Cricetulus griseus: one gene and its partners. The protein of the gene in region 6 interacts with the protein of the main gene of each other region in a pairwise test. Links are inferred from orthologs where the notes say so. Each region holds a gene or a part of one and is shown on either strand. Other genes may lie near its edges.

Region 1 (4,032 bases), on a different chromosome or scaffold from region 6:
TGAAATGAGCAGTAATGATAGGACTCAGGAAGCTAGGGCTCCTGCCCAGGCAGGGGATTATCACCTGTCTGAGTGGGCTGAAAGTGGCCATGCACGGCATAGGGTTGTGGCTGCGGCTGTGATAGGTACTGCACGGCAGGAAATGCCGACGGTGCTGGGAAGGTAGGAGACATCCATTAGCTCTTGTTGGTCTTGCTGTTCTTCCCTCTGCTCCGAGGAGAACCAACACTCACCTCTGAGCTGCTGGCTAGGACTATAGGCTGGCTGTGTAGGTCCATAGTGAGGTGGGGGCTGAGCAGTTCCATAAGCACCCCCTGGACTGCCTTGGAATTGTCCATGTTCTGGGGTTCCTGCAAAAGCAGCTGCCGATCCCACGTAGTGCCGGGTCTTAGAGGGAAAATGAAAACTCACTGCTTACACAGCACCTAGAAAAAACTCACTCCATATGTCCTTATGCTCAACTGAGCTCCTACACACTACATGCTTGGTATGTTTGTACTTTAATGATGGTTGGGGTGCCAGCAATATAGGAGCAAGTAACTGGGACTACACGTCCAAGCCTTTTCTCAAGCTAGGCATGATGACAGATAGACAGGATTACATTTCAAGGCCATTCTTGGCTACATAGTGACTTCAAAGTCAGCCTGAGCTTATAAAAGACTTCTTAGGGCGCAATAAATAAACAAACAAATAAATAAATAAATCCTCAAAGAAGACTCATCCTCACCGTAAGCACTTGGGGTCCAAACATCTGCTTGGCTCTGTCAGCTGCCATGAGAGTACCTGGGCGGTTGTGTCCTCCAGGACTCCCTAGAAAGGGAGAGGGGCTTCATGATGCTGAAATAGGAGGCTACAACCTCCAGGAGAGCCCCTTCTGTCAGGTGGTTTCTTTAGTCCTCACCCTGCATGCTGAGGAGGTGAGTTCCCGTGTGAACAGTCAGGCTCTGCTGGTAGGCAGCTGATGTCAGAGTGGTTAGGTCACTGGAGTGAAAGGAAGACAGGGCAGTCAGTAAGTAGCCCTCCTTTTGCTATTAAACAGATTCTTTTGTCACCTGTTCCACCACACAATTTTACTTTGATCATCACACCTCTGTTCCTTTCGTCTCCGTTTCTCTTCTTCATGCAAAACTTTTTTGAGCTGCAAGAAAAGCTGGTGCTTCTCCTCCTGTAGAGCTGAAAGTTTCTCCTGTAGTTTCAGAATCTGGAAGAAGGATGAGCAGATAACAGTGGGGAAAGGGAAGAGAAGAAGAAACCAGAACTGGCAGTAATGAGGAGTTACTTACTTGTTCCTTGGTCTCTTCTAGTGACATCCTCTCTTCCATCTCCTTTTTCTTTCTTCTCTCCTGCTCTTCTTTCATCTTTTGTTCCATCATCTTGTCCACCTCTTCCTCCTCTGAAGAATCAGAACGGGGAAGTGGCAGGACAGTGAAAATAAGCTGAGTGTTACACTGAAGACCAGCAAAAACCAGTTATTCCATCACAGCCATAAGGAGAAGGAGGCTTCATTAGTTGCTCTCCAAGGTCCTTCCCAGCCCAGGGCTCTGGAACTTAGACTGGGCCTCTTCGCTCACACCCTGAAGGCGCCGCTTCCTCCCTCTTAGCCTTGCCAGCAGGCGCACAGGTTGGCCCGTGGATGGGGGCAAGTTCGTGGGTAGCAGAGCCACCCTGGGCCGTGTTTGTCCTCCCGCTCTGGCCCTGGCTCACCCTGCCGTTTGCGCTCCCGCTCCATCATGATGTGCCTGTGCAGAGCCCTGGCCATAGCGTTGGAAAGCTTGGGGCGCTCCAAGAGTGCGGGCATGGTGCTGTTGATGACGCTTGGGCAGTGGGTGCCCGGCTGTTGTCACTGACTGCCAGACCTCAGGCGGGGCCTGCAGGGAAGTGGGAGCTTAGATGGACTGAGACCCGCCAAGGCGGAAGCTAGTCCGCCGCCCGCTCGCCGCTTCGGTCACGTGTCCCGGGCACCAGCGTTCCCCCGGGTCTCAGCCTCAGCGCCAGCGCGCGCGCGGGGGTCCTAGGTTCCGCGCCCCCGCCCCTCCCTCGCAGCCCGGGCGCCAACCCCCCTACCCGCCTTCTCGGAGCTTTCTCCGTGGCCTCCGGCGCGCCTTGATTCCCGCGTCACATCCGGCGGCCAGGATAAATCCTTCCGGAGTCATGACGGAAGCCGCCTCAGCGGGTTGGATGAAAGAAAAGGCGGAAGTGCTTGGAGACGGGTGCCGGGTTGTCCAAATTCCATGTGGGTTTAGAGGCCTGGGAAGATCTAACCTCATGCCAAGAGCCCTCGGAACTCTTCACCTCATGAGGCCGCGGGAGACAGAAGCAGAGGCACATACTCTGAAGACAGTATTTATTGGCTCCTTAGAAATCAGAGTCAGTAACAACTGTACAGAGGGCCCGCAGCTTCCTTGCCTGCCCTTCCTTCCCCACTCCCGCCCCATGGCACCCCGTGGCCACGGAAAAAGCAGCTTCGTGTGGGCACAGAGAGACTCCTTTGGGATTCACAGTAACCAGAACAAAAACGGAAATAAATTAAGTGATATGGGGGAGGGTAATAGGGAGTCATGTTCCACAAATCAGTGCATGAAGGGGGGGCCCAGAGCCTGGAGCTGGGCTCCCTACAAGCTCCCTCTCAGCAGAGGGAGTGTGCTGGGCCCTGAATGTAGAGATGTGCTTCACACCTGGTCTAATCAAAGCCTGTCTATGTGCTCCTCCTGCCAGGAAAGCACCTATCCATGCTGTAAGTCACTGGAATGAGGTGGAGGCTTGAGACCCAGCTGTGCTTGTAGTAGTGGCATCTCACCCCTTATTCCACCCGTACCAGCAGGGCATAGAGGAGTGTGGCTCCTTTTTCCTTAGTGACCCACTCAAGTTCCGATGGGCTGAAGTGCTGGTCAGGAAGTTCTCTGAGGGCAGCAGCAGAAGGAGGGCCAGGAGTGTAGGAGCCAGGGCGCACGCACACCTGAAAGGCCACCTGAGCCTGGTGTGTCCGCTGGGATTTTGGGTCCCGGAATCTATTAGACAAGAAGAAACAAGAGGAGGTTAAGGCTTCTAAGCCCCATGACTGCTCATGCTGCCCCCCTCCACCCAGACCTTGCTGTTCCTGATCTCGCCATGAATAGCTTAGCACCAACCATTCTCTATGTGTAGTACTCTCTTCCCGAGCCCTCCTCATCTAACTTCTTCATGGCCCTCTTCCTTTACCCTGGGACTCTTATTTCATGTTTGTTCTACACATTCCAAGTGCATTTCTCATCTACTTCACCCACTTTTTTGAGACATATAGAGTTCTATCCCAGACTGGCCTCAAACTCCCTACAAAAGTGGAGGATAACCTTAAACTTCTGATCCTCTGACTCTTAGTGTTAGGATTCCAGGCATGTGTTACATATAATACCCAGGAACAGTTTATGTAGTGCTAGGGATCAAATGCAGCACCTGATGCAGGACACTCAAAAAGAGGAAAAAAAAAAAAAAAGATTTGGTAGGCATATACTTTCTATGTAAACCAGACATAGTGATGCACTTTTCCAATCCCAGTGCTCAGGCTGTCGGTGGAGGCAGAAGGAACATGTGTTCAAGATGAGCTTCAAGATGGAGGCCAGGTTGGGCTATTTGAAATCCTGTTGTTTTAAAAAAACAAATGAACAAGGCCAGGCAGTCAAGTCAGGCAATGGTGTTGGTGGTGGCGCATACCTTTAATCCCAGCACTTGGGAGGCAGAGGCAGAGGCAGAGAGATCTCTGAGTTTGAGGCCAGTCTGGTGGACAGAGTGAGTTCCAGGACAGCCAGAGCTACACAGAGAAACCCTGTCTCAAAGCAAAGCAAAATACAAAATAAGAGGGGCAGGAGAGCTGGAGAGATGGTTTACTGGCTAAGAGCACTAGTTGTTCTTCCACAGACCCTAGTTCAATTCCCAGCCCCGACGTGGCAGCTCACACCTGTTTGTAACTCCAGTTCCAGGGGATCTAATGCCTTCTCCTGGCCTCTGCAGGCACTGCATACACAGGCTGTATAGACATATGTGCGGGCAAAACAC
Region 2 (4,226 bases), on a different chromosome or scaffold from region 6:
GTGCTTAGTATACAAACCTCTCCTGCTGAAATTCTGATCTGCAGTAAGTACATTTTACAATAGGATGTGCAATCCGACATTCCTGTAATAAGATAATACATTAGTCAGTTTTATCTCACAGACCCAATGTCACTTTTCTGGTAGAAATCAATCTAGTCAAGTGTCTGAAACGTCAATAAACAACTGGGTGACTTATCCTATCAGCAGCCAGTCACAGTGTAATTCCACAGGGAGGCCATAGATATTTTTATCTTTTTTGGATGTGTGTGGGGGGGTATGGAACATTTAAATCAAGGAAGCTGTCAGGACTGACTCCCAGGGGAGGTTACATGTGTTATTTTGTACAGTTGCTCACAGACAGCGTCCCAGCTTTTATGGGATGGGAGGAGCTCCAAATCAGAGCACCCTGTTCCCAAACCAGTCGCTTCGCTTTCCGGGACAGGAAGCAGGATGCCGTCAGCTCTGCAGCCTCGGGTTCGGGATCCTAGCAAGAAAGTGCAAACACGAAGCCCTGCCTCCCAGTGGAAGGAGAGGGCTGACAAGGCTGGGGCAAGAGTCTGCACCGGGTCTCTGCGACGCCGTGGACTAGTGGCTGCCCGGCTCAGCCCCACCCGAGACCGCCGAGCGAGGCGGAGCCGGCCCCAGCCTCGAGCTGGCGGGACGCGACCGACCCGCGTCTCGCCCACCTGATCCCCGGGCCCCGGCGCCCACCGACCTTGCAGAGCTGCTGGCCTTGCGACAGCTCCTCGAAGGGGTAGCGCTGCGTGCACTTGGTGCAGGCATACAGGGCCGACGCCGCCATCCTGCTTTCGGGCTCCTCCGCGCGCGCTCAGGCGGGGCCTCCGGGAACTCGGCTGCCCCGCCCGCGGGCTTTTCTGCCGCTGCGGCCCCTGCCTGGCGACCGCCGGGCCCCCCCCCTCCCGTGTCTCCCTCCGCCTCCGCCGCCGTCCCGGGACACCCGCTGCCGCCCGCCCCGCTGCTCCCGCTTAGGCCCGGAACACGGCGGAGGGAGACGAAGCGGGCGCTGGTCTGCGGATTCCGCTTCCTCTTCGGCCTCGCGTCCCCCTCTATGATTGGTCACAAAGATCCTCACGTCACTCGGAAGCTCCGCCCAACCCCTGGCCTGGGTTACGCAGGGAGCGCCCACAAAGAGAGGATAATAACCACCAATAGTAGACCGGTGCTCTGAGCGCGCGAAATCCGCTTCGGAAGAGGTCCCGCCTACAAGCCGCGGCCAGTCCTGGTGTGGGCGGCTCGCCTGAGCCCATTGGCCATAAGTCACGAAGCGCCGCTTTTTTTCAGCCCACGGTTTCCATTGGACCATGCCGTTAAGCCCCACCCACTTTGGATTGTCATTGGCCGGAAGGCCATTACTTCACCTGGGGAGGCGTCGCGTTAGGCGGACGTTCTCTGGAGTGTCTGGGGTCCTGATGGAGTGTTTGAACGTACACTCGCCTTTACTCCGCTCCCGTCTTCCGTCCTGGCAGCCGCTGGAGGCTCCAGCGGCCCGAGTCTTTGCTTCCTCCTCCGGGACACACTGCCCTTTCCAGAGTACTCGGAGCCGTCTGTTAACTCCCAGCGACGCGGCTCCCGCAGGTTCAGGGGCGCGCTACCTTGTGACGTCACCGAGAGGAGAGGCGGGCCCTAGCCTGCGCCCGAAGATGTCCTCTTTTCTGATTGGTCAATGAGGAAATCCGTCAAGGCGCGCTGCTCTTCTAGTGATCGCAGTGCGTGGCGTCCCTGTGGAGTGTGAGGCCGGGGCTCCTTGGGGATTCGCAGCGCGCCCGCCCTTTCCATCTGGGGTTAGGCTTCAGCTCGCCCCAGGCGGGCGGCTGTCGAATCCGGAGGAGAAGCCCCAGGTCGGCGGCCCGCGTCGTGCAGGCGGGAAGATGGCGGCCGCCTCTGTCTCGGCGGCTTCTGAGTCTCAGTTTTCGGTAAGCGGCGGTGTTCGCGTGGGTCCCAGGTGGGCCGGGACGGCGCTCCGGGTCGCCCCGCCTTCCCGGCTATCCCGGACCTGGCGCTAGCAGTGGTTCCGGAGCACGGTCCCTCCGGGAGGCTGCACCCGCGTCCTGGGGAGGGAGCCACAGCCCTGCCCGCCTCCACTCCCACCTTGCATTCGCTGGCCTGGCAGCCGGCGCCGGGCAGCTCTGCTCTGGCCGGGCTGCTGCACTCCCAGGCCTGGGAAAACAAAGCTCTGTCGATCACGTGAGTGTAACGGCCCCGCTCCGATACCTTTGGAGAACAGGTAGGTGTGCAGGTCTGCTGAGTGGCGGCCGCCGGGGCGTCCGAGGCCCCCGAGTGCATTTTCGTCGTTGTCTACAGTGCTTCTCGGTGACTGTTACGCGGCGACCCTTGCAGCCAGAGCCCGCGCCTTCCCGCTTCTTTGCGGATTACTAGGACTCTGGAAATGCTGCACACCGGCGGGTTTAGTAATAAACAGGTAATGGAGAGGTAGAGTTGGGCAAGAGGAACTAGAACAAGTAAGAATTGACTAATGAGGGAAGTCAGAATATCGGGATAATTTCATAACAGATGAGGGAGAGGCCGTTAGATAGTGCAGTCACACTTAAGAATGTCAGTTTCAGCTTTCTGTGGCCACCTGTGCTAACAAGGCCAGACTGTCTCAAGTTTTCAGCACAATGCGTCTAGCAGACAAAGATCCAGGAGTGGAGAAGCAAACAATTGGGAGTTCTTCACGGACCAGATTGATAAAGGGTAAAAGTAAGACTGGCAGAAACAAGTGTCTGGGTGCATAAACTATATAGGAGACAAGATGTAGTTAATCCTTAGTCCTTTTGGTACGCACAACTGAAATCCTAAAGCCTGTTCAATAGGAAAGTATATGTATTTTGTGCACTGCTATTTTCTTTTGGCCCTATTTTTGGAAAATTGGTAGAGAGACAGTATCAAATGTGTGTGTCAGGAAATGAAACAACAGAAACTACATTATGTGGAGGTTTTATGGTAAGAATTCGGGATTGTGCTCTGTTTTGGAAAACCATAGGAGAGTTTTGATTAGAAATATTAACTTGAAGCTCTCACTCCTTTTAGGATCATCACTAGCAAGCTGTTTGGGAGAGCATACTTAAGCGTGAAGAACAGTTAGAATTTCATAGCTATTCAAACTTAAAAAAAAAAAAACAGCAGCAATATCTGCAGTAGTAGGGATTCTAAATGTGTTATAGAGAAAGACCCCTGAGTGATTTGCAGAGAGATTAGATTTGAGTGAATGAAAATGACTCTACACAATGGTTTTGTACAGAGCAGTTTCATAAATGGCAGTGCCAGTTGTTTTGGTATTGTGTGTGAGGAGCAGATTTGGCAACTAAACAAGAATTTGGTTGTAGTGGAGTTAAATTTTAGGTGCCTGATAAGACATCCAAGTAGGTAATCAGTGATGTGAGTTTGGAGTTTTAGATTTAGATCTCAGTTCCATATTTTAACTTGAAAGCTGCTGGCAAATAAAAATTAAGAGGCTTGTAGTAGATGAGATTTCTTTAAAAAAAGAGAATCAATGTAGACATAAAAGGAACCTTAAGAATCAAACTTTGGGAAACTCTAACATTTAATAAAAGCGGGAGGAGCGATCCAGGGAGTTTATGAGGAAGAGACCTAGGAGATTGAAGGGAAATCACTGTTGCTTCCTCCACTGAGTAAAATGCTTAGATAAATGATTTCTGTGATCCGTGCTTCTAGTTTTTTTAGTGTGTACATGAGAATGTGTGTGTGGTGCACATGCCACAGTTTGCTCCTGGAGGTCAGACGACAGCTTTGAAATTGCCTCCTTCCACCTTAGTGGCTTCTGGGGAGCTGGCTTGGGTCATTAACCTTGTTCAGCAAGCAGCTTTATCCACTGGCTAGATTGTGTTTTTTTTAAAAAGTCAGAAATCAGTCTAAGGTTGAGGAGTCTTGGAGTTCAGGAAGAGGTTTTGTTTTTATCCTTTTATGACACTGGGAAAAATGTAGTGGACAGGGGACTGAGAGGTACCAAGAGGGGTTTAATTGTAGGAGGTGAGACTTTGAGAGGGTAAGAGGGTAAGCTGAGACAGACAAGGTTTTTGTTTGCTGCAGTTTTGGCAGATTGAAGAGCTAATTCATGGGTTTTCTATTTAGAACTAGTTGATTATTTGGTTTGGGTTGCTTCTGCTGATTTTGTGAGGGGGAATTCTACAGTAAAATCTCTTAGCTTACTTTGAATGTTAAATGATGGAATTCTAGCAGTTTCT
Region 3 (4,183 bases), on a different chromosome or scaffold from region 6:
TTTGGCCTCGGGGCTTTTATCTTTCTCTACTCCTGTATACCTTTTCTTTCCTTCTCACTCCATGTCTGGATATGTAGGTGGGTGGTTGGCCCCTGAAGTCCTCCTCCTTCCTCTCTCATTCCACAATCCTTTTCTCCCTGATTTCTCATCTTTATCCTCTCTGTAGCCCTGCCTATGTCTCACCCTGCCTTGCTATTGGCCATTCAGCTCTTTATTAGACCAGCAGGTGTTTTAAATAGGCACAGTAACACAGCTTCACAGAGTTAAACAAATGCAGCATAAACAAAAGTCACACACCTTAAAATAATATTTCCCGACAGACAGGCCCTAAGGTGAGGGGCAACAACAGGAAGCTGGAGAAAACCTTCAAACTCACTTTAGTATATGTGGAGAGTTGATCGTTTAGGCTCTGACAGTGGGACATGGTTCCCAGGGCAACTTGCTGGACCAACTGCTGAAATTTTAAATTTCTAGAGACAAAATCTGTCTCACAGTTTACCTGTAGAAACAAATGGATACTGCTGTATAAGCTGTTTACAGATAGTTTTCTAAAAGTGCCTTGCAGTTGGAGATTAAGCCAAGATATCAACAGGACAAGCTGCAGACGCAACAGAAAAAAATGGCCTCAGGTTTTAAAGCTGCAGTTCCCTACTTCTGGTGAGGCAGAGACCAGGGAAGTGACTGTTGCCATGGAGGGAGTCGACAACAACCTGCATACCCCAGAGGATCCCAGAACACCCTGAAGGACTCACCGTCAGTTCACTACTTGCCTATGCAACACACCATAATCACTTCATCCATTAACCCCTTCCAACTCCAAACCTTTTTTGTTTTGTGAAAGGGTCTCAGGCTGGCCTTGAACTCAGTAAGTAGCTGTGGATGACCCTGAATTGATCTTCCTGCCTCTACTGCCCCAGTGCTAGAATTACACCCACGCACCACCATGCCCACTCTCCAAACCACTGTTACCATCACTTGTTTATCTCACTACTTTACTGTAGCCTTATTTGCGTCTGCTTTTTCACCAGTCTTGGCCATCTGGCCTTCTTTAAATCTGCAACTTATCAGTCATCAACACACAGAGTAATAGTTAATATGACTACTGACTTTACAATCAATCTTCTTTTCTTATCTTTTTTTTAGGGGAGGTCAGGATTTCACTTTGTAGCTTAGCTGCCCTCAAACTCACAGTAATCCTCCTGCCTCAGTCTCCCAAGTGTTGAGACCACAGGTGAGAGCCACCACACCCTGCTGCTAGCTTCTAAATCTACCAGCTCCAGGTAACAAGGCTGCATTGGATTTACACTTAGGAAGGATTAGGTTGCTAGGCATTTTTCCATCAAGACAGCTGTGCATGTCCACACTTAAACACAGGCCCTGAGAACTGAACTCCAAACACCACTGTGGTCTCAGATTCCTTAAGCAGGCGAAGGATCTACCACAAACCTTATACTCCCAGACATAGCTGTCTCTAGCATACAGATTCCCCAACAACTCACTTCTACTAATACTGTTGTGTTTCCCTCCTGCAGCAGCCCAATCAAGCCTTCTTTAGTCTTCCTCCCTTGAAGCTTAGCCGCTTTGCTCCAGCCTTCCTTCTGGGCCTGCTTGTGCAGCCAGGCCTCTGCCTACAAATGGAAAAGAAAGAGGAAAAAGCCAGTCACAGAAATTAGGAATATATCCGAACAGGCAGGGCAGGCAGGAGATCTCCGTGAATTCGAGGCAAGCCTAGTCTACAAAGTCAGTCCAGGACGGCTAAGGCTACAAAGAGAAACCCCGTTTCGAAAAACAAACAAAAATATATCCAAGTCAACGATTCTTTCTGCACTCCCACGTTCTATAACAGAAACTAGTCTACTACTAATGCTCTACACCAGGCACTGTATGTAGCCGGCGCCTGTATAACTTTAATCTTCACAACCCCACTATGGGATTGATGGCAGTGTCTTCATTATAAAGACAACACTGATACAACTCTAAAGGATTAATTGCAACGTACAAAGTTACAGTGTGTGTGATAGAGAGGGGTCCTCCGGCGTCTAACTTCAAAATTTACACAAACACTTGATACGCAAGCAGCAGCAAATCCCACAGCCCTCTAATATGGAATACAGTCAGTTAACTCTGGGAGTCTGGGTAAACTGAAGACGAAACCGAAAGGTGAAGCTATCGTTTAAGCCAAATTCTTCTCTTTGGGCTCAATCGTTAAGGACACCTTATGCTCCCCAGAGTGGCCCCTAAAGAAAAGTAGAGGTCGAGCTCCAGGTGGGACAGCACCTCCTCCCACCTGTTTGAGATCACCGTCACAAGCCTCCAGAGCTTTCTTGCAGTTGACAAAGGAGTAGCCCGTTTTCCGCCGCAGCTTCATAAGGAGCTCCTTGCTGGAGGCAGACGATGATAGCGTGGGGCCCGCGTGAAGCGTGTGCCATGGCTGGGACGGCTGCAGCAGGGCAGACCCGGCCTGGAGGGAGTGAGGAGAGGGATGAGCAGTCGGGAGCGGCCGCAGCTGGACACGAGGCGGGGGAGCATGTCCGCAGGGCCAGACCTCAGGGACTGTGGGCGAGCACGGTGAAAAGGAGCCGAGCTCGGGTCGGGAGAAGGAAGGACGCGCTCACGACACCCGGGAGCGCAGCTTAGCACCCGCGCCAGGAGCCCTCACCGAGCGGCCGGTGCACAAGACCGGGAAGAAGCGCAGCGACCGCAGCAGCAACATCCTCTCCAGCAGCCTCGATCCACCCTCCCGCCCTTCCGTGCACGCGTGAGACGATGGCCTACGGCGTGGCGCGAGGGCCAAAACTCCTTCCTGAACGTGTCGAGCGAGGATGCTGCCACCTGCAGGCCGGAGGAGTATATCGCCTCTTTGGCTTGGCTTTTTAAAACATATCACCAAAAAAAAAAAAATCATCAAAGACTTGGCCCTCCGCGGGTAAAACAGAAAAAACGGCACGATAGCGTTGTCACAAAATAACAACACAAGACACGTAGGTAATATTTTATGTTTCTTTATTTCCAGTGTACTTCCACATTGAGTATTCATTTATGACTCAGAACAAACGGGAGTCAAAAGTAGGTAGGTAGGTGGGCTCAGGAAGCCGTACAAGGTCACCTGGAGAGGTGAACTGGAGGTCCTTCAACAAAATGAATAAATAATTACTGAATTAGCAAAAGTATCTGCTGAACACCTGTGTGCCCGGAGCTGCTGCCAGTTTCAGGGAGATAGTGATGAATAAACCACAGCCCTGTGCTCCGAGGTTATCTATTGGTGAGGAAATAAGAATCAGGTAAGACGAGATAAGGTTCCTAAATAGTTAAAAGAGCTCCCAAAGAAGGAAATCACATCCAAACAGAAGAGTCAGGAAAAGGAGGTTTTTTTGTTTTTTTGTTTTTCCAGAAGTAAAGAGTGAATTTTAAGGGAATTCATCAGAAGATGGGAAAAGGAAAGGAATGCTGCTATGGAGTTAGGGGAAGGGAACAAAGAGTAGGACTTTGGCATGGCTAAAAGTGCAGTACAAGAGGAGTTGGAAATGAAATACAAAGTAGTTTGTGAGCACACCGGTGTAGCCTGAGTACCAAGCTGACACGTTCCTTCTTGCAGTAGAAACTAAATCCAGCAGGTTTTGGAAGGCTGCAAGAATTTGAAGAATGGTTTGGAGGTTAAGAAAGTGGTGGTGGACACACCAGAGACAACTGTGTGCCTAAACAGTAAGTGAAAAGAGCCCTACCCAGACAGCTCTGAGGGAAGAGATGAGATGTGAGGGTAAAACAAGTTAGGAAGGGAAACTGAACTTGGAAGAGGTCAGAAGAACCTAGAACTCAAGCCAGAGTTGGGTACACGATATTCTGTGATCAGGCCTTGAACTTTGCAAAGGATGAAGAAGCCACAGCCCAAAGGGACAGCTCTGGTGTTTGTCCCCAGACTCAGGTCTAGGAGGACTTGTCTTAGAGTCTTCTTACAACAGGCAAGACACAGGTGCTCTGAGGTGTCTTGGTACCAGCTCTCCCTCAATAGCTACATGTTTGGGGGTGTGAAGACATGATTAATGCTCTTTTTTTTCTCACCCTTAAAAAAATGTTAAAGGATGTTTTTTGGTTTTGGTTTCGACTTTCTTGTGTGTGGGTCTCAATATATAGTTCTGGCTGGTCTTGAACTCCCAGAGATCCGTCTGTCTCTGCCTCTTGAGTT
Region 4 (3,500 bases), on a different chromosome or scaffold from region 6:
CCAGAAGTACAACGTCTAAGATACCTTGGTAGGGAGTGGGTGGCTAAGCCTGCTTAGCAGGCGCCCCATATTCAGGATCCAGTCACCCTTTGTGTTCACCCTCTCTCCTCCCAAAGCCAGGCTGGGCGCCGCCGGGGCCGAAGGGCGCCACTGTCAGGCGCACATGGGAGGGAACAGAGGGGGGCCGGCCGGGAGCGGAACAGCCCAGAGGCTCTGGAATGCCAGGCATCCAGGTCACCCGCGGCTGCGAGATTAATGGCTCCAGCAAGAAGCCAAGAACAGCCTGGCGCTAGCTCGCTCCCCGGGGAGCGGAAACGCCTCCCGGCTGCTTCTGCCCCCCTCCCCCTCTGCAGGCTTCCAGAAACCCTCCCTAAGACTTCCTTTCTTTGCCAAAGCCTGGGCCCAAAAGCCGCCCTTCCTACCAGAGCACCCCCATTCTCCCTTCCCCTAGCAGTCGGTCCTCTGCAGACTCCCAAGGGCAACCTAGGCGACACACCTCCTTCCCCCCTCACCTCCGTTCCAGAGACCTTTAGCCACTGTCACCTCATTTTGAAAGGTAGTGGATAGCTCAAGTCTTGCCCAACCTGGGCCCATTTCCTGCCAAAGGCTGATTAGCAAGCTCTCGAGGGCCCTAAGTCCTTGAAGCAAGAAGAGGACACTGCCAGCAGAAGCTGTCCTCCCCTCTCTAGATGCCCCTTAACCAAGTACTCTAATTTCTTCCCTTCTTCCCTACAAGCCTGCCACTCCCCCTCAAGTCTGATACCTTCCTCCTTCCCTGCAGCCCTGCTTCTGCTGTTCCCACACATTTCCCCCCATCACCAGGGGCTTCCTAATCACCAATCTCCAGGATCATGAACACTTTTTCTCTCGAACCTGTGGGAACCTGGGCGCGCGGGCCTTAAGCTTATCTCACCTCCCTGCCATTTTCTGGGCGAGTTCCCACCCTCTGCCCAACACTGGCCCAGTGCTTAGCTCAGTTCTGCTAATGAAGGAATGAATGGATTAGTCTATAAAGCCTCCAGGATGCCTGCCTGGGCCTCCCTGTTTACAGAGAAGCCTGAATGCTTCCTTTAGACTGTAGCTGTGGACTCGGCCCATTTGTGGCTATCCCAGGACCCTCCATCAATTCCACCATACTCTCCAGATTCTTGTATCCTCAGCCTTTTTGTTGCCTGGCATTCCTAGGAAACTCAGAAGATCCCTCATTGTCCTCTATTTAACTACTGCCTTGGCTGTCCGGGCCTCCCTGCAGGAGGGACCAATGCTACGCTGAAGGTCACTACTGTGTGGCTCAGCCAGTCACTGGTTCCTAGGGCTTGGGGCATCTTCAGAAACAGGTCTTTCCCATAGCAGTCATTCAGTAAATCTGTTCTTGCAGTGCCACTCTACAAGGAAGTGGGTTAAACCTCGAGGGACTGGGGTCATAGTGGCCTCGTTGCCTGTACAGCCAGCTAGATTTCTTAGCAGGTCCCCTACTTACTCTGAGCAAGCAGCTTGGCCACCATGTCCTGACTGCCCGCCTGGGCTTCCTGTGTCTTGCTTGCCAGGTGGCGGTTTGCAGATTCCAATCTCTCTGTTTCAAATAAAGAGATGTTTTAATATCAAGGGATGTTGCCAGCCTGGGGGTTATTCTGGGGTTCTTGTTTTTGTTTTTTTGTTTTTGTTGTTTTGAAACAGGGTTTCTCTGTGGCTTTGGAGGCTGTTCTGGAATTAGCTCTTGTAGACCAGGCTGGTCTCGAACTCACAGAGATCTGCCTGCCTCTGCTGGGATTAAAGGCCACCACCGCCCGGCTATCCTGGGGTTCTAACTGTGAGCCTGTATCATCTGAGCTGGGGATGGGCTCATAGAAGTCCCAGCTCAGATCAGGTACCAATGATGGGGACTCATGGGAGCCTCTACAGTACAGAACAGAGATTCTGAATCCCCTCCACCCCCTAAAACAGATCCCCAAAGTCCTCAGATGTTCTCCAAGATCCCCGACCCACAATCCTAATTCTCACCTCTAAGATCACGGTTGAAGTCCTGCAACCGCCTCATCTCACTGTCCATCTTGTTTCTCATAGTCTTCTCCAGGGCCTCCCGCTTGGAAGAGGTCCTCATCAGGCTCTCATGGGCCTCAGACAGCCTCTGAATTTCATTTTCCAGCTGTAAAAGACAGACAACGAACTGAATGACAGGAAGGGTCCCAGGGAGTAAATGAGGCCAGTGGCTCCATACTGAGATAATCACAGGACTTCAGCCTCTTAGGTAGGGCAGACTGCTGGGATTGGATGCTGCCTGGACCCAGGGCTAAATGCTCTTCAAGGGGGCTACCTCCAGTCTGCCCCATGCCCAATGTTTATAAGAAGCATTTCATTTCTGCCTAGCATTGTCTGATAATCTGAGTGCAATGGACCAGGAATGAGCATATTCTAGTTGGTTCAACCTATCTAGAACACTGTAGATAGACAGTACAGGAAGGCCCGAGGCTTTTGCTAAAACTGAACCTTAAACACAACTGGCCAGGCTTCACCAAGGAAGGGGGTAGCCAGACCCCAGCCTGAGCTGCCTCTCACCAGAGCATGTGGCTGCCCCTCCCACTTGGAAGCCACAGGTCTTACACGTGCTCCTAGCTGGCTTGCTATGCCAACACGCTGCTTTTTCTTTTCCCTAAGAGGAGGGGCTTTCTCTGTGGCCAGGGCTGGCCTGGAACAGACTGGCTGTTGTGTGGGCGCACAAAGGGCTCTCTGTGGGAGGTGTCCACGGGAGGGGTTGTGCAGGGTGGTAGTGCAAGTGTGGAGAGAGCTAGTGAATGAGTTCTTTCTAACCACCACTGGCCAGCAACTGCTCATGCGCCAGGGCAAACTGCTCGGCTGTTCCTCAGCTGTCTGGAGTGAGCTTGGGGTGTTTTGAGGGGGATGTAGGACAGAATTTGGGGCAAGAAGCAGCCTGATCGGTTTTCTTGCTCCTCTGCCTCCCCCAGCCTCCAGAGGCCCTAGGAGTCTCTACCTTCTCTATGCGGCTGGCTTTCTCTGCGGTGCTCTCCAACTCTCTCTGCAATCTCTCATTGTCCCTCTGCAGCCTGGCGTTCTCCCTCAGTACACTCTCCATCTGGGCCAGGTGGGCACTGCCCGAGGCAGCCTGGGAACTTGCTGGTCCCTCCACCGCAGGTGGACTGAAGGAGCTTGGGGGAGCATGTCCTAGAGCAGCTGGATGAAGGGGTGGGGAGTGCTCCTGGGGCTGTTGCAGGTACTGGTACTGCTGCTGCTGGAGGAACACTGGTGGTACTTGGGCCTGGAGGATCCTGGAAAAGAAGAGGCAAAGCTCAGAGACCAACTCACACACACTCCCTGGCTATTACTATTGCCAATGACTGACTCAGCCTCCCCAGTATTAGGCAGCCACCAGTGGGAAGGGCCTGGGCCACACGGTACCTGCCTGAGATACAAAAATGTCAGAGAGCAAGACCGGTGCGGGGTGGGACAGCATCCCAGTGCTTTTTCTGTTCACAGTTGCCCCA
Region 5 (2,794 bases), about 180 Mb from region 6:
AGGTGTGGTGCCTTTGCTCTAAAAGACGAGAGAAATAAATGAGCATTCTTAGTGGCATTCATGCTTAATTAGCATTTTGCTAACACTGATTGCCTTTTTAAAGCCACTGCTGTTAAAAAAGGAGGTTACTTGTCTCATTTTAAAACACTTTATGTATCTGTGGCAACAGTTAAGGAAAAACAGGAACAAATGATTATCACCATGCAGCCCAGGCTGGAGCTCGTGACCCCCCCTGCCTTGGCCTCCCTGCTGCTGGACTCAAGATCCACAGCAACTGCACCAGGCTTAGCCACCTTTATTCCTAAAGCACCTGGGCAGTCCCCTTACACACAAAACTATCCACAGTATAAAAAGACTTTTCATACCACATTGGCAGGAACACTAGCAGCTGTCTTTTCTTCAATTTTACCGTCTGCTTGGGCAATCCGAAGAGAGGTTGCGGGGTCAGAAGCTTTTTCAGTCTAGAGATGAATATAGTATCTCATTACTATATAATTATACGTAGCAAGGCACAGAACCACGTAACAAAGTAAGATGTTAGGAGCTGTTCATACTGACAGGAAATCAGTATGAGGTGAGGATGAGCCATACTGAGAAAACTTTGCCAAATGACTTACTCTAGCACTCAAGTTGGAAAACAAAACCTGAGAGTAGAGACACTGCCAAAGGCACTGACTGTGGCTGGCTGCTGTGAGGCACTTGAGACTGGTGTGTGTGTGACACATCCATCCAAGCAAATGAATGACAGTCTCCTGTGCACATCTGCCTCTGCCCTCATATCCACGCCACCTTCCTAGACACAGTCCACTCCTCTAATGAGCCAGGTGAGCTAAAGGGGTTGCCAAAAAGAGCTTCCCCATGGGTCAGACTCATGAAATCTTTAGGGTATGCAGTCAAATTAGCATGGGCTGTTTCACCTGTTAGATGTCCAACAGTTGGAGCAATCACAAAGGAAAGGTCAGTACTACTTTTCTCCTTCCAACTCCACTTATATATATATATATATATATATATATATATATATATTTTTTTTTTTTTTTGAGACAGGGTTTCCCTGTGTAGCTTTGGTCTGTCCTGGAACTAGCTCTTGTAGACCAGGTTGGTCTCGAACTCATAGAGATCCACCTGCCTCTGCCTTCTGAGTGCTGAGATTAAAGGCCAGCCACATATATATTTTCAATGATTTAAATTAGATCAACACAGACAATGCCACCAGATTCCTGAACACTAAAACTAGTCTCCTAGAAGAGCCTATGAAACTAAGTTAGAAGACTCTATGAAACTAAGTTTAGACATGGTGGTGTTTTGGGAGTGTGTGTGTGTGTTGCTGGAGTGTGTAGCTATGGTAAACACAGCTTCTTATCCTAGGGAAGTCTTCATCAAGTCCTACAACCAGAGCAGTGTTAACCAGGGCCAGGGGTGTGTTTTTCACACCACACACACCCCAGGCCCTGACCCCTGAATCTTACTATATAATAGTGTAACCATTGGTCGTTAGAGGCCAATCAAGTATCTGAGAAGCATGGATCTAGGGAATGCATATCCTCCAAAAGAGGCAGCAGCAGGTGTTTTATTCACTTAGGCCTCTGCTAATTTAATCTGCTTTTTCAAGAGTCCTCTTTATAGCATATGGGAAGAGACTGTCACAAATTAGGTGAACTCCAGAAAACTCACTGGCAAGACCTCAGGATGTTTCTCGGCTTCACCGTCTTGTTCTTCAGTTACATTTGATGCAGCAAATACTTCAAATTGGCTAAAATCTGCAAAATTTGGTTGTTCTGGTATCTGCTGAGGTGAGGTACTAGTGTGAGTTATTAGACCATCGGCATCCACTGGCCGATGCACTGAGGGACCAGGTGCCTGTACAATGGGTTAGAAAACAGGAACATGCATTTTATTAGCATTGCCAGTGTCACCGTGTTCCTCTTTAATTAGTAATACTTTACAGCGAATACCCCAGATACATATGCACACAATCTATCAGTCGTATTGAACTTGGCTTTCTCTCAGTAAGATGCCAGTCTCCATATATATATATCATACCCATGCCTCTGTGGGTGCCATTCTTGTTCTTTGGAATGCCCTTTCTGAAGCAAGTACCTCTTTATCTTCCGGGTCTTAATTCCTTAATTTCACTTTTATCTTCTCAATATGCTCTTTAACTTTACAAGCCACCAAGGCTGTCCTGAACTATTCTATAAATAGTCTACTGTAGCACTTCAGTTCTGACCTAGCAGGGATGCAAATGTCCAGGGAGATAAGAGTGGATTCTGTCTATGAGTTGGTGATGGACACAGGACATTATCAGATATTTCTATCTCCCAACCCACTGTTCTGCTAAACCCTTTAAGACAGCATTATTTGTTTCTTAGTAACCCACATTACTGGAATCCTTAGCTTCCAAGAATACTTACTGTCACTGACTTAAGTGCCAACCTTACAGATAGTAATAAATAGAATGAGCTGTCTAAGGCACAAGCTGATCCTGAAGATGGCAGCAAATGCCATTTGTACCAAGTACACAGGAGACTTACCTGTGAGGGCTGAGGTCTTGGAGGCACTGCAGGAGGGTGGGCAACAGCTCCAGTCTGTTGCTGTCCTGTATGAATATGCAAATCTCTAGTGATTATATAATTGCTTTACTGGAGAAGAAACAGATGAATGTGACCATATGACAAAACAGTTCTAAGAGCACTTGGTAACTTTCCAAGGGGCTGAGGTTGTAGCTCAGTGGTAGATTAGTTGCCTAGCAGCAGAGACAAGGGGATGAGAAGCTAGTTCAAAGTTAGCCTTG
Region 6 (4,063 bases):
GTGAGGGCAGTAGAAGTGACCACCGGTAATTACTCGGTAGGCCCGCCTCTCCCCACCCCTCTACTCTGCGTTCACTTAACCCCTCTCTGGAGAGGACTCCAGGTAACGCTCTGCTTGGGTCAGTCAGTGCCTGTCCCTTGTCGGAATCGGCGGGAAGGAATGTCTCCAGTGGCGTGCTCTCACAGGGCCGCGTCCTCACGGAGGCCAGCTGACTGCCAGGGCGCGGGAAGCTTCCTGCAGACCCTCAGTGGCTTGGGCAGCACAGCTCACCGGGGACCACAGCGGCCAATCTAAAGGGGCGGGGAGGTTCTGAAGGTGGCTCCTGGGAGTGATCGCGAAGACGTCGCCCTCCAGAGACCCCATTTCTCTTCTTTCTCTCAAGGTCACACGGCCGGCAGACTTCAGAAGGCGGCGGCCTTTCGCGGCTCGCCCTGCACGGGCGAGCACTGCCCCCAGCCTGCCCGAGGGTCTTCTGTGTGCCAGCTGCACACGACGCTGTGACTCGGTGCCGGCAGGAGGGTGGGGCAGCACCCGTGCCGGTGGCCTCGGGGATGCTGCGGCGGCCCCGCACCCCACAAGCTTGCTCCCCGGCTGCAACGCCGGCAGAAGGCATTCTGCACACCCAGGGAAGGCCAGCGCGCTGCTCCGCCCAGGGGCGGGGCGGGCCGGCCGGCAGCCCGGGCTGGTTTAACCGGTTGGAGCCACCGAGGTACGCAGACAAAAAAAAAAAAAAAAAGTGTCCCTTCAGGAAGCTGGGGACACCAGGCCAGAGCTGGAGGAGGAAAGCGCGCTCTCTCCGGCCGAGCACTGCGGGGCTCCCAAACTGCGTGTCTTCGCCGGAATCCGCTCGCTCCGGTAGGCGTGCGAGCCCCTCGCTGCCCAGGACACTGCGCAGGCGCCTGCGAGCCTCAGCGCTGGGCACGTCCTCTCGCGGGTTCCCTGTCGCCCCCCGCACCCGGAGCCAGCGCCTTGCAGCCCTCGGGAGGCGCGGTGCTTTCTGGGTGTTGTGGTTTACGTCCGCGGCAGGGGCCTCGGGCGGCGGGGGTGGCCGGAACTACAACTCCCGGCGCGCTCCGCGCGAGGCCACGGGGCGTTTGCCCGGGACGGCCTTCGCCGTCAGAGCCCGGAATCCGAGGACCCGGGAAGCCGGCCGCGGCGGGAGGAGGGCGTGCGCGTGCGCGCTGGGCCGGCCCGTCCCGCTCCGTCCCAATCATTGTAAACAGGCGGAGGCTGGGCGGGGTGGGGATGGGGCTCCCGCGGCCGGCCACGGGGGCAGCGCGGGCGCGGCGGCGGCGGTCGTGGCGGCGGCGTGAGTGCGAGCAGGCGGCGGCTGCAGCGGAGTCGGCGGTCGCTCGGCGGCAGGCGCTGGTCAGTGGCGGGCGGGGGTCGCGGCGCGGGGGCCCGGGCGAGCCGTCTCGTGCCCGGGCGAACCGGCCTGGCGCCCGCGCCTGTCTGTCAGGCGGCGTGCAGGGCTGGGGACCCGGGGCTCGGGGCTGCAGTCGGGGGTGGGGGGCGTGGCTGTCGCTCGCCGTGCTCTCCGGGAAGGCTCACCCCGCAGCTCGCACCCTGGGGTGGGTCGCGCCGCCCGCCTTCCCCTCCCCTCCCCTTCCCTCCCCTCCCGGGCAAGCGCCGGGGGCGAGCTGGGGAGGCAGCGGCTTCCCGGAGCCTCCAGGCCGCGGGGCGTCTCTGCGGGCCACGCCTGGCCGCAGCTGCACCTGGCAGGCTCACCTGTGTGTCCCGCGCCGCCAGCTGCGGTCGGGGAGCGGCTCCTGCTGCCGCTGCCGCTGCCGCTGCACGCGGCGGGCCTGGGGCCCCGGGAGCCCCCGGTGCAGAGCTCCTGCAGGGAGGGGTGCAGGCTTCGGCGGCCGGACCTGGAGTTCGGAGCTCCAGGCTCCCCGCGCTGGAGAGTGTGTTTGTGTGCCAGTGATTTTCTTACCGAAGACCGGCATTCGTCTTTAAAATACGTCGCTGGGAAACAGGTTTGACAAAATTTTCCACTTGGCAGCCTTCTGAGAGTAGTGCCGGTTCAAGTTTGGAGATTATCTCGAGCGTTCTTCCGGGGGGAGAGCAGCTTGCACACCCCAGGGTTTAGTGTGGTTCCTGAGGACCATTGACAGGAGTGAGCTGCTGCACTGCCCAGCCTCAGTGGTTTTAATGGAGTGGGTGTGGGCTAACTGCCACCATGCTTGGCAGTTATTCACAACATATGTACGTGATGATAAGGCCCACTTTTCCCTTGGTGTTGAGGTTGCCAGCACCTGTAAAGGAAGAAACAAGACTGGGAACGAAGAAGGTCACACCACTTCTGTGGTAGGAATTTACCTTGGTAATGTCAAGATCCGAGTATCTTCCCCCGAAATGAGTAATTCCTGTCTGCGGTGTTGGCTTTAACGGGGTGGGAGTCAGTGGAGTGGTTCCCACAGCCTCTCACAGATGGGGGGGGGGTAAAAATAACTTTTTTTTAAAACAAAGTATCTAGACACAAGGTAAGTGAATTTGCTGTCTTTACAAAAGGTGGCTTCTCAGAGTAGAACTTACAGGAACCATTTTCTTAATAATTTAGAAAAATAGAAGTAGTGTTTTAAAAAGTGTGCATTGGGCTAGGCGTTGGTGGTGCACACATTTAATCCCACCACTCGGGAGGCAGAGGCAGGCCGATCTCAGAGTTTCAGGCCAGCCTGGTCTACAGAGCAAGTTCCAGGACAGGCTCCGAAGCCACAGAGAAACCCTGCCTCAAAATCTCCCCTTCCCCCCAAAAAAGCAAAAACAAAAAACAAAAACAAACAAGGCTTGGTTCTCTGTTCATTTAGGGGAAAACGTTGCATGTCTGAAGGCACAAATAGTTTATTAGCTATTTATAATTGGCTTGCTGCTCTTGAAGCTTTCTGGGGTTCCGTTGCCAGCTTCCTGTAAGTCCAGTTCCCAGGATAATCCAACAGCTCTGGCCTCCACGGGTAATTGCACACCTCTCCTGGGATCAAAAATAGTAAGAATCTAAAGAAGCAAATATTTATCACAGTTAATTTGCACAGTTGATTGCCTGGCAGAAGAGATTAGTCCAGAACACTGCCCAAAGTGTGTTCTGTTTTTTTGGTCTTTATTGAGGGGAGGAGGCACAGGATCTCACTGTGTAATCCTGATTGTCCCACAGCCTCCTTAAGACCAGACTGGCCTCAAACTCACAGAGATCTTCCTGCTTCTGGCTTCTAAGTGCTGGAATTTAAGGCGTGCACCATCATGTCTAGCTGCTCTTTTCTTTTAAAAAGAAAACCCCTGATAGAATTTGTTAGTATATGTAAGACAGAACGTGGGGGAAAATGCAAAAGTTACTGTGTTTAGAGTCTCTGCCGAGTGAAGAGGACTTGAAGATGGTTAAGACCATCTGCTTTCAGATAGTCAAGTGTATCTCTTGAATTGTCAACAAGTAATAACATATATATATATTTTTTACATGGTTTTATACACATACATACACAGAGACTTGCTGGGGATTGAACCTGGGGTCTTGGACACATTAGAAAAGCACTCAACCGTGTGCTACAATCCTCAGCACATAAACTACAATATGTTTCTAAGATTGCTTTGTAGGAAATATGGAGGCTCTGTGAATGTATACAAGAGGTGATTATCTGTTTCCTAATGGAGAAGCTATGGAAGAGGGCAGTAGTTAGAAAAGGGCCATAGATAAACAGTGATGAAAACATGGGCTGAGCATACCCAGGGGAAGATGCCTGACATACAGCTAGACAGCTATAGAAATCATGGGCAGTTAGATAGGGAATAATGTATGTCAGGCTAACTACACAGTAGCATCCCCAAGGGTGTGTGTACTTGTGTGTGTACCTCAAATGTAGCTGGAGCTGCTGGTGGTGAGACATGAAACTGGGGAGATAGTCTGTATACCACCAGAGCAATTTCAGCATTGTCCCACAAGGAAATAGTCATTGAAACAGAACAGAGCAGGGGAGAGGATGGGGGTGGGAGAAACCGGTCGACTGGCCCACCTATGCTAGTCCAGCCAGTGTTTAATCCTCTGTTACAAATGTTACGTCCTTAAGGATCC
Region 7 (4,216 bases), on a different chromosome or scaffold from region 6:
ATATATTAAGCCGTGGATATCTGCGATTTCTGCTGCAACACTTTTAACAAGAAGGAAAAGGGCACAGAGAGATTGAGTTCTTAGTCCTAAAACACACAGTATCCTTCCTACTCCTTCCTATTCCTACACCCTAGGTCCCTACGGTGACCCGGTGGGCCCTGGCCAGTCAGGGTGGGGGCAGGCTGTGAGGACTCTGTCTCCAGGGTGATGCAGAAGACAACTCCTTTTCCTTCTGTCTCTAAAAACTAGGGCATTGAACTCAGAAAGGTGACCCCAACCCTGGGCTACTGAACGGCCAGGACCTCCCCAGGTTCTGGGGGAGGGGGTGGGGGTGCTCTTCCCAAGTCTCCCTTGGTACCCATCGGTCCTCACCTGGCTCTAATGCGTCCGGCTTGACCTTTCCTTAAAGATCAGCGGCAGCGGCTGATGGGTTTCGTGGGTCCCAAAGGAGACCCTTCAGACAGCCCGAGCCACGGGCTGCAGAGCCCCTAATTGGAGCAATGAATCACTGCGGGCTCCTGCTGGACACAGAATAGACAGAGGAGCTGAACGCTATTGTGCCATAGTTTGGGACACAGGGGGGTGAGAGAGGATGGGGAGGGAAGACGGGGGTGGGGGGCGGGTTGGGGAGAGAAGAGGTCAGGGGAGGAGGAAAGAGGAGGATGGAGAGGACAGGATGAGTCAGGGGAGGAGGGGCGGAGAGGAGGTAAGGGGAGGAGGATTAGGAGGAGGAGGAGGCAGGGGAGGAGGGGACGGAGAAGAGGATTAGGAGAAGGAGGAGTCGGAGGGGGGGGGAGGGAGGAGGAGCCCGGGTGGAGGCGGGCAGCAGGGCGGCGCGAGGGAGGGCTTCCCCGCCTCCGCCTCCCTCCCGCGCCCTCCGCCCCGCGCCGCCCCGCCTCCCTCCTCCCAATTAAATGACCCGACGCTCTGGCCGGCGCCGGAGCTCGCACATGCGGCCGCCGCAGCCGCCCGGGGCTCGTCGCCACTGCCGCCACCTCCACGTTCCGGGCGCGCTCTCCGGCGCCGCCTGGGCCCGCACCGCTGCCAGCCGGGGACTCAGCAGCCCCAGGCACCGCCGCAGAGACCCTCCGTGCGCCCCGGGCCGCGTGCGCGCCGCCGCCCGCCAAACTTTGCGAGTTGGGCGCGGGGCCTCGGGCGGCGCGGCCGGAGCAGCGGCAGCCGCGGGTAGCGCGGAGGCGGGCGCGGCGGCCGGGCCATGAGCGGCCGGGCGGCGCCGCTCTCCCGCAAGCAGCGGCTCATGGCAGCGGCGGGCGCGGCCCTGTCGTGCTTCATCTGCGGCGGCGGCATCGCGCGCGGCAAGGAGCTGAAGCTGCCGGTGAGGCCGGCGGGCCCCGCGCAGCCCTTCTTTCCGTTCCTGCAGCAGCAGGAGCCGGCGCCCGGCGCGCGCGGGCTGAGCGCGGCCGATGGCTGCGTGCTGGTGTGCGCCGTGTGCCGCTGTTTCCTGGCGGAGCAGTGGGCCGCCTTCGAGCGCGCGCGCACGCCCGTGGACAAGCGCGTGTACTGGCTCAAGCGGCCGCACCAGTGCGACGCGAGCGCGGGTGGCCGGCGCGGGGCCCGCGAGTGGAACGCCGAGGACGCGCGCGACTCGGAACTGTCGGAGCTGTCGGACGCCGACGCGCTACCAGAGCCGGAGCCCGAGCCGGAACCTGAGCCCGAGGATGCTCACGACGCCACGAAGCCCGGAGTCCGGCGCCGACGCACGGGCCCCGGGACGCACTGGACTCCGGAGCCGCCTCGGGCCAGCGTGCTGAGGGGCGTCCAGGAACCCTGGCCCATCCCCACTGCCCCTGACGGCACGGACAGCGCCGCCTCTAGCCGGGCCGCAGGGCCCCCAGAGCGCAGCAGCACCCCCGAGGGCAGCGACGTCGCTGGCAGCCTCGGGGACGAGGGCCTGGAGCGGCCTCCCCCGACGCCCGCGGACAGCCAGGCCCGCTGCTGCTACGTCTGTGGGTCGGCGCTGTCGCCGGCCTCGCAGCAGCAGATCCACGTGCAAAAGCAGGAGGCGCCCTCCCAGGCGCCCTTCTTCCCCTTTCTGTGGCTGCATAGCCCCCCGCCCGGAGCCCAGCCCATCACTGAGGCTGGCAGCACCCTCGTATGTCCCTGCTGCTTCTCGTCCCTCACGCACCAGTGGCAGAGCTTCGAGCTGGCCAACGTGCCTGTCCTGCAGCGGCTCTACGTGGTTCCCCTGAACAGCCACGCCCCCGGCATGGCCTCCAAGGCCCGGAGACTCCCCAGAGAGGAGGGCCCCCCCACTGCCGCGGGCCTGCTGCGGGAGGCCTGCTACCTCTGCGGGGAGGATTGTACACGGGATGCCCGGGCAGTGCCCTCCCGCATCGTCAATGGCAACTCGGGCGGCTCCATGCACTTCCCTTTCCTCAGCCTCCTGCCTTGCCCACCCAATGCTCGGCCCCCCAACAAGCACTGCGAGGTTCGCAGCTGCCCCAAGTGCTTCAGCGTCCTGGAGGACGTCTGGGCCCTGTACCGGGCATCACACAACCGTGAACTCATCAACTCTGTGCAAGGCTTCCTGGGCAGGTACCACCAAGCCTTCTCGGCCTCGGACCCTACTCTAAGCGATCTGCCCGCTTCTGCACAGGGAGGCCCGCCTGCCGTCTGTTACATCTGTGGGGCTGAGCTGGGGCCGGGCAAGGAGTTCCAGCTCAGCATGAACCCCGCTAGCCACCTGGGCGAGAAGGAGCCCTTCTTTCCTTTCCTCACTGTCTATCCGCCCGCCCCACGGGCCAGGCCTGCAGACTCCACCGGCCTGGTGGCCACCTGTGTGCTCTGCTATCATGACTTGCTGGGTCAGTGGCTGCAGCACGAAGCCAGAGCCGCTCACCAGGCTGTCAGCGCCTGGTCTAGGCAGTACCAGGTAGACACGTTCGTATGCTTCTTCTGCCAGCAAGAGAAGAAACGGTGTCTGGGGCTGAAGTCAGTGAGGGTGGCCAGGCTGCCCTTGTTCCTGTATACCCTGAGAGCCAGCCACAGCCTGTTGGTGGATGATGGCCGGCAGCTGATCATTGGTGCCTGCGTGGAATGTGGGACCCTGGTTTGTGCAGGTCAAGGGCTTGTCAGCCAGGGATCCATGGGCTGGAGCTCCCCAGCAGCAGGAGCAACAAAGGTAAGCAGTAGCTTTCATCTCAGAGCATCTGTGTCTCAAAAGGAGAGATGTTTTCTGTTCCTTGGCAGTATCATTGGTTCTGTATGGAGTGTCCCAGCAGGAGGCGTTCTCTTTGCCTTGCTAGCTTGGCTGACCTTGGAGGCCTGGGGCAGGAGGTTAGAGGGTCTGGGGGCAGGGGTGGAAGAATAGCTGCTGCTGGAATCAGCAGGCATGGGGCTGAAGCTGGGAGTGTTTGCCACGAATCTATCAAACGGAGGAAGTTCAGGGCACGGCTGTTGTCCGCCCGATAACATTGGTAATTAGTGTAGCCACGCAGGTCACCCGGAGGTGGCTAGTTCCTCTGACGAGCTCCTGGCTGCCTCGCTCTTCCCAAGATTCCCACCCAAGTGCATTTCGTTTGAGTCTTCCTGGTGGCTTTATGAAGCAGATGGCAACAGATTCCAGACGTGTAGGCGTGGGACACAGGCTCATGGGACCCAGGATGGTGGCCTAGACAACCTTTGCAGTGGTTAGTCTCTTCAAGTCAGCTGCGTGGAGCTGAGCCGAGGCCTGGGGCCTGTTCTCAGGATGCAGCTGTCTGCCTGGTAGGAGACAGTCAGGGCACTGGGATGATAGAACCTAGCTTTGTAAGAAACTGGGCAGGAGCTGGCCAGGTGGCCCTGGGAAAGGGGGCAACAGGCAGGGAGGCAGGCAGGCAGGCATCTGTGAACTGCACTCACTGTCCTGCCCTTGGGCTGGGATCCTAATTCCTACCAAACAGACTGTCCTGTCCTGGACAGAGAGAGGCCTGTGTGGCAGTGACTGGCCAGGGACCTGCAGAGAGACATAAGGGTGGTTAGGTGGGTCCAGTTCAGGAAAGGCTGTGTGTAAAGTATCTGGTTCCTGCAATTGTGTGTGTGTGTGTGTGTGTGTGTGTGTGAGAGAGAGAGAGGGGGGGGGGGGAGATATGCCTGGGCACATGGAGGCTGACCTATGAGGCAATCTTTGTTGTGCCTGGGTGTCCCTTTCCCAGGCTCACAACCCCAACTGCCTCACGAGTTGGCCTTGGTCTTGAGTTGCCTTTAAGGTTTTGAT

What was found.
Region 1: the proteins of Ralbp1 (region 6) and Gps2 interact in binary tests that used the Homo sapiens proteins (3 or more experiments, as listed by UniProt). The two-hybrid records come from large-scale screens. The link is inferred for Cricetulus griseus from reciprocal best matches to the Homo sapiens genes RALBP1 and GPS2.
Region 2: the proteins of Ralbp1 (region 6) and Cep57 interact in binary tests that used the Homo sapiens proteins (3 or more experiments, as listed by UniProt). The two-hybrid records come from large-scale screens. The link is inferred for Cricetulus griseus from reciprocal best matches to the Homo sapiens genes RALBP1 and CEP57.
Region 3: the proteins of Ralbp1 (region 6) and Tsfm interact in binary tests that used the Homo sapiens proteins (3 or more experiments, as listed by UniProt). The two-hybrid records come from large-scale screens. The link is inferred for Cricetulus griseus from reciprocal best matches to the Homo sapiens genes RALBP1 and TSFM.
Region 4: the proteins of Ralbp1 (region 6) and Amotl2 interact in binary tests that used the Homo sapiens proteins (3 or more experiments, as listed by UniProt). The two-hybrid records come from large-scale screens. The link is inferred for Cricetulus griseus from reciprocal best matches to the Homo sapiens genes RALBP1 and AMOTL2.
Region 5: the proteins of Ralbp1 (region 6) and Reps1 interact in binary tests that used the Homo sapiens proteins (3 or more experiments, as listed by UniProt). The link is inferred for Cricetulus griseus from reciprocal best matches to the Homo sapiens genes RALBP1 and REPS1.
Region 7: the proteins of Ralbp1 (region 6) and Gse1 interact in binary tests that used the Homo sapiens proteins (3 or more experiments, as listed by UniProt). The link is inferred for Cricetulus griseus from reciprocal best matches to the Homo sapiens genes RALBP1 and GSE1.

Annotation. Positions count from the first base shown.
Region 1 is NC_048600.1:83,762,284-83,766,315, reverse strand, and holds the start of Gps2 (G protein pathway suppressor 2), read right to left. Parts: upstream 2,801-4,032; 5' UTR 2,069-2,800; exon of another isoform or gene 2,065-2,068; intron 1,869-2,064; 5' UTR 1,799-1,868; coding exon 1,705-1,798; intron 1,394-1,704; coding exon 1,284-1,393; intron 1,202-1,283; coding exon 1,089-1,201; intron 982-1,088; coding exon 902-981; intron 811-901; coding exon 728-810; intron 388-727; coding exon 234-387; intron 155-233; coding exon 65-154; intron 1-64. UniProt on the Homo sapiens protein: Key regulator of inflammation, lipid metabolism and mitochondrion homeostasis that acts by inhibiting the activity of the ubiquitin-conjugating enzyme UBE2N/Ubc13, thereby inhibiting 'Lys-63'-linked ubiquitination.
Region 2 is NC_048597.1:127,283,600-127,287,825, reverse strand, and holds the start of Cep57 (centrosomal protein of 57 kDa), read left to right. Parts: upstream 1-1,426; 5' UTR 1,427-1,889; coding exon 1,890-1,934; intron 1,935-2,297; exon of another isoform or gene 2,298-2,407; coding exon of another isoform or gene 2,408-2,440; intron 2,441-4,226. Other genes in the region: protein FAM76B, read right to left, coding at 18-82, 716-802. UniProt on the Homo sapiens protein: Centrosomal protein which may be required for microtubule attachment to centrosomes. May act by forming ring-like structures around microtubules. Mediates nuclear translocation and mitogenic activity of the internalized growth factor FGF2, but that of FGF1.
Region 3 is NW_023276806.1:130,674,052-130,678,234, reverse strand, and holds the start of Tsfm (elongation factor Ts, mitochondrial), read right to left. Parts: upstream 2,801-4,183; 5' UTR 2,714-2,800; coding exon 2,660-2,713; intron 2,462-2,659; coding exon 2,288-2,461; intron 1,629-2,287; coding exon 1,500-1,628; intron 500-1,499; coding exon 377-499; intron 1-376. UniProt on the Homo sapiens protein: Associates with the EF-Tu.GDP complex and induces the exchange of GDP to GTP. It remains bound to the aminoacyl-tRNA.EF-Tu.GTP complex up to the GTP hydrolysis stage on the ribosome.
Region 4 is NC_048597.1:210,966,078-210,969,577, reverse strand, and holds part of Amotl2 (angiomotin-like protein 2), read right to left. Parts: intron 3,285-3,500; coding exon 2,990-3,284; intron 2,147-2,989; coding exon 2,002-2,146; intron 1,574-2,001; coding exon 1,481-1,573; intron 1-1,480. UniProt on the Homo sapiens protein: Regulates the translocation of phosphorylated SRC to peripheral cell-matrix adhesion sites. Required for proper architecture of actin filaments.
Region 5 is NC_048595.1:271,596,338-271,599,131, forward strand, and holds part of Reps1 (ralBP1-associated Eps domain-containing protein 1), read right to left. Parts: intron 2,600-2,794; coding exon 2,535-2,599; intron 1,861-2,534; coding exon 1,675-1,860; intron 462-1,674; coding exon 366-461; intron 19-365; coding exon 1-18. UniProt on the Homo sapiens protein: May coordinate the cellular actions of activated EGF receptors and Ral-GTPases.
Region 6 is NC_048595.1:454,823,408-454,827,470, reverse strand, and holds the start of Ralbp1 (ralA-binding protein 1), read left to right. Parts: upstream 1-1,263; 5' UTR 1,264-1,368; intron 1,369-4,063. UniProt on the Homo sapiens protein: Multifunctional protein that functions as a downstream effector of RALA and RALB. As a GTPase-activating protein/GAP can inactivate CDC42 and RAC1 by stimulating their GTPase activity.
Region 7 is NC_048596.1:196,858,942-196,863,157, forward strand, and holds the start of Gse1 (genetic suppressor element 1), read left to right. Parts: upstream 1-1,416; 5' UTR 1,417-2,227; coding exon 2,228-3,142; intron 3,143-4,216.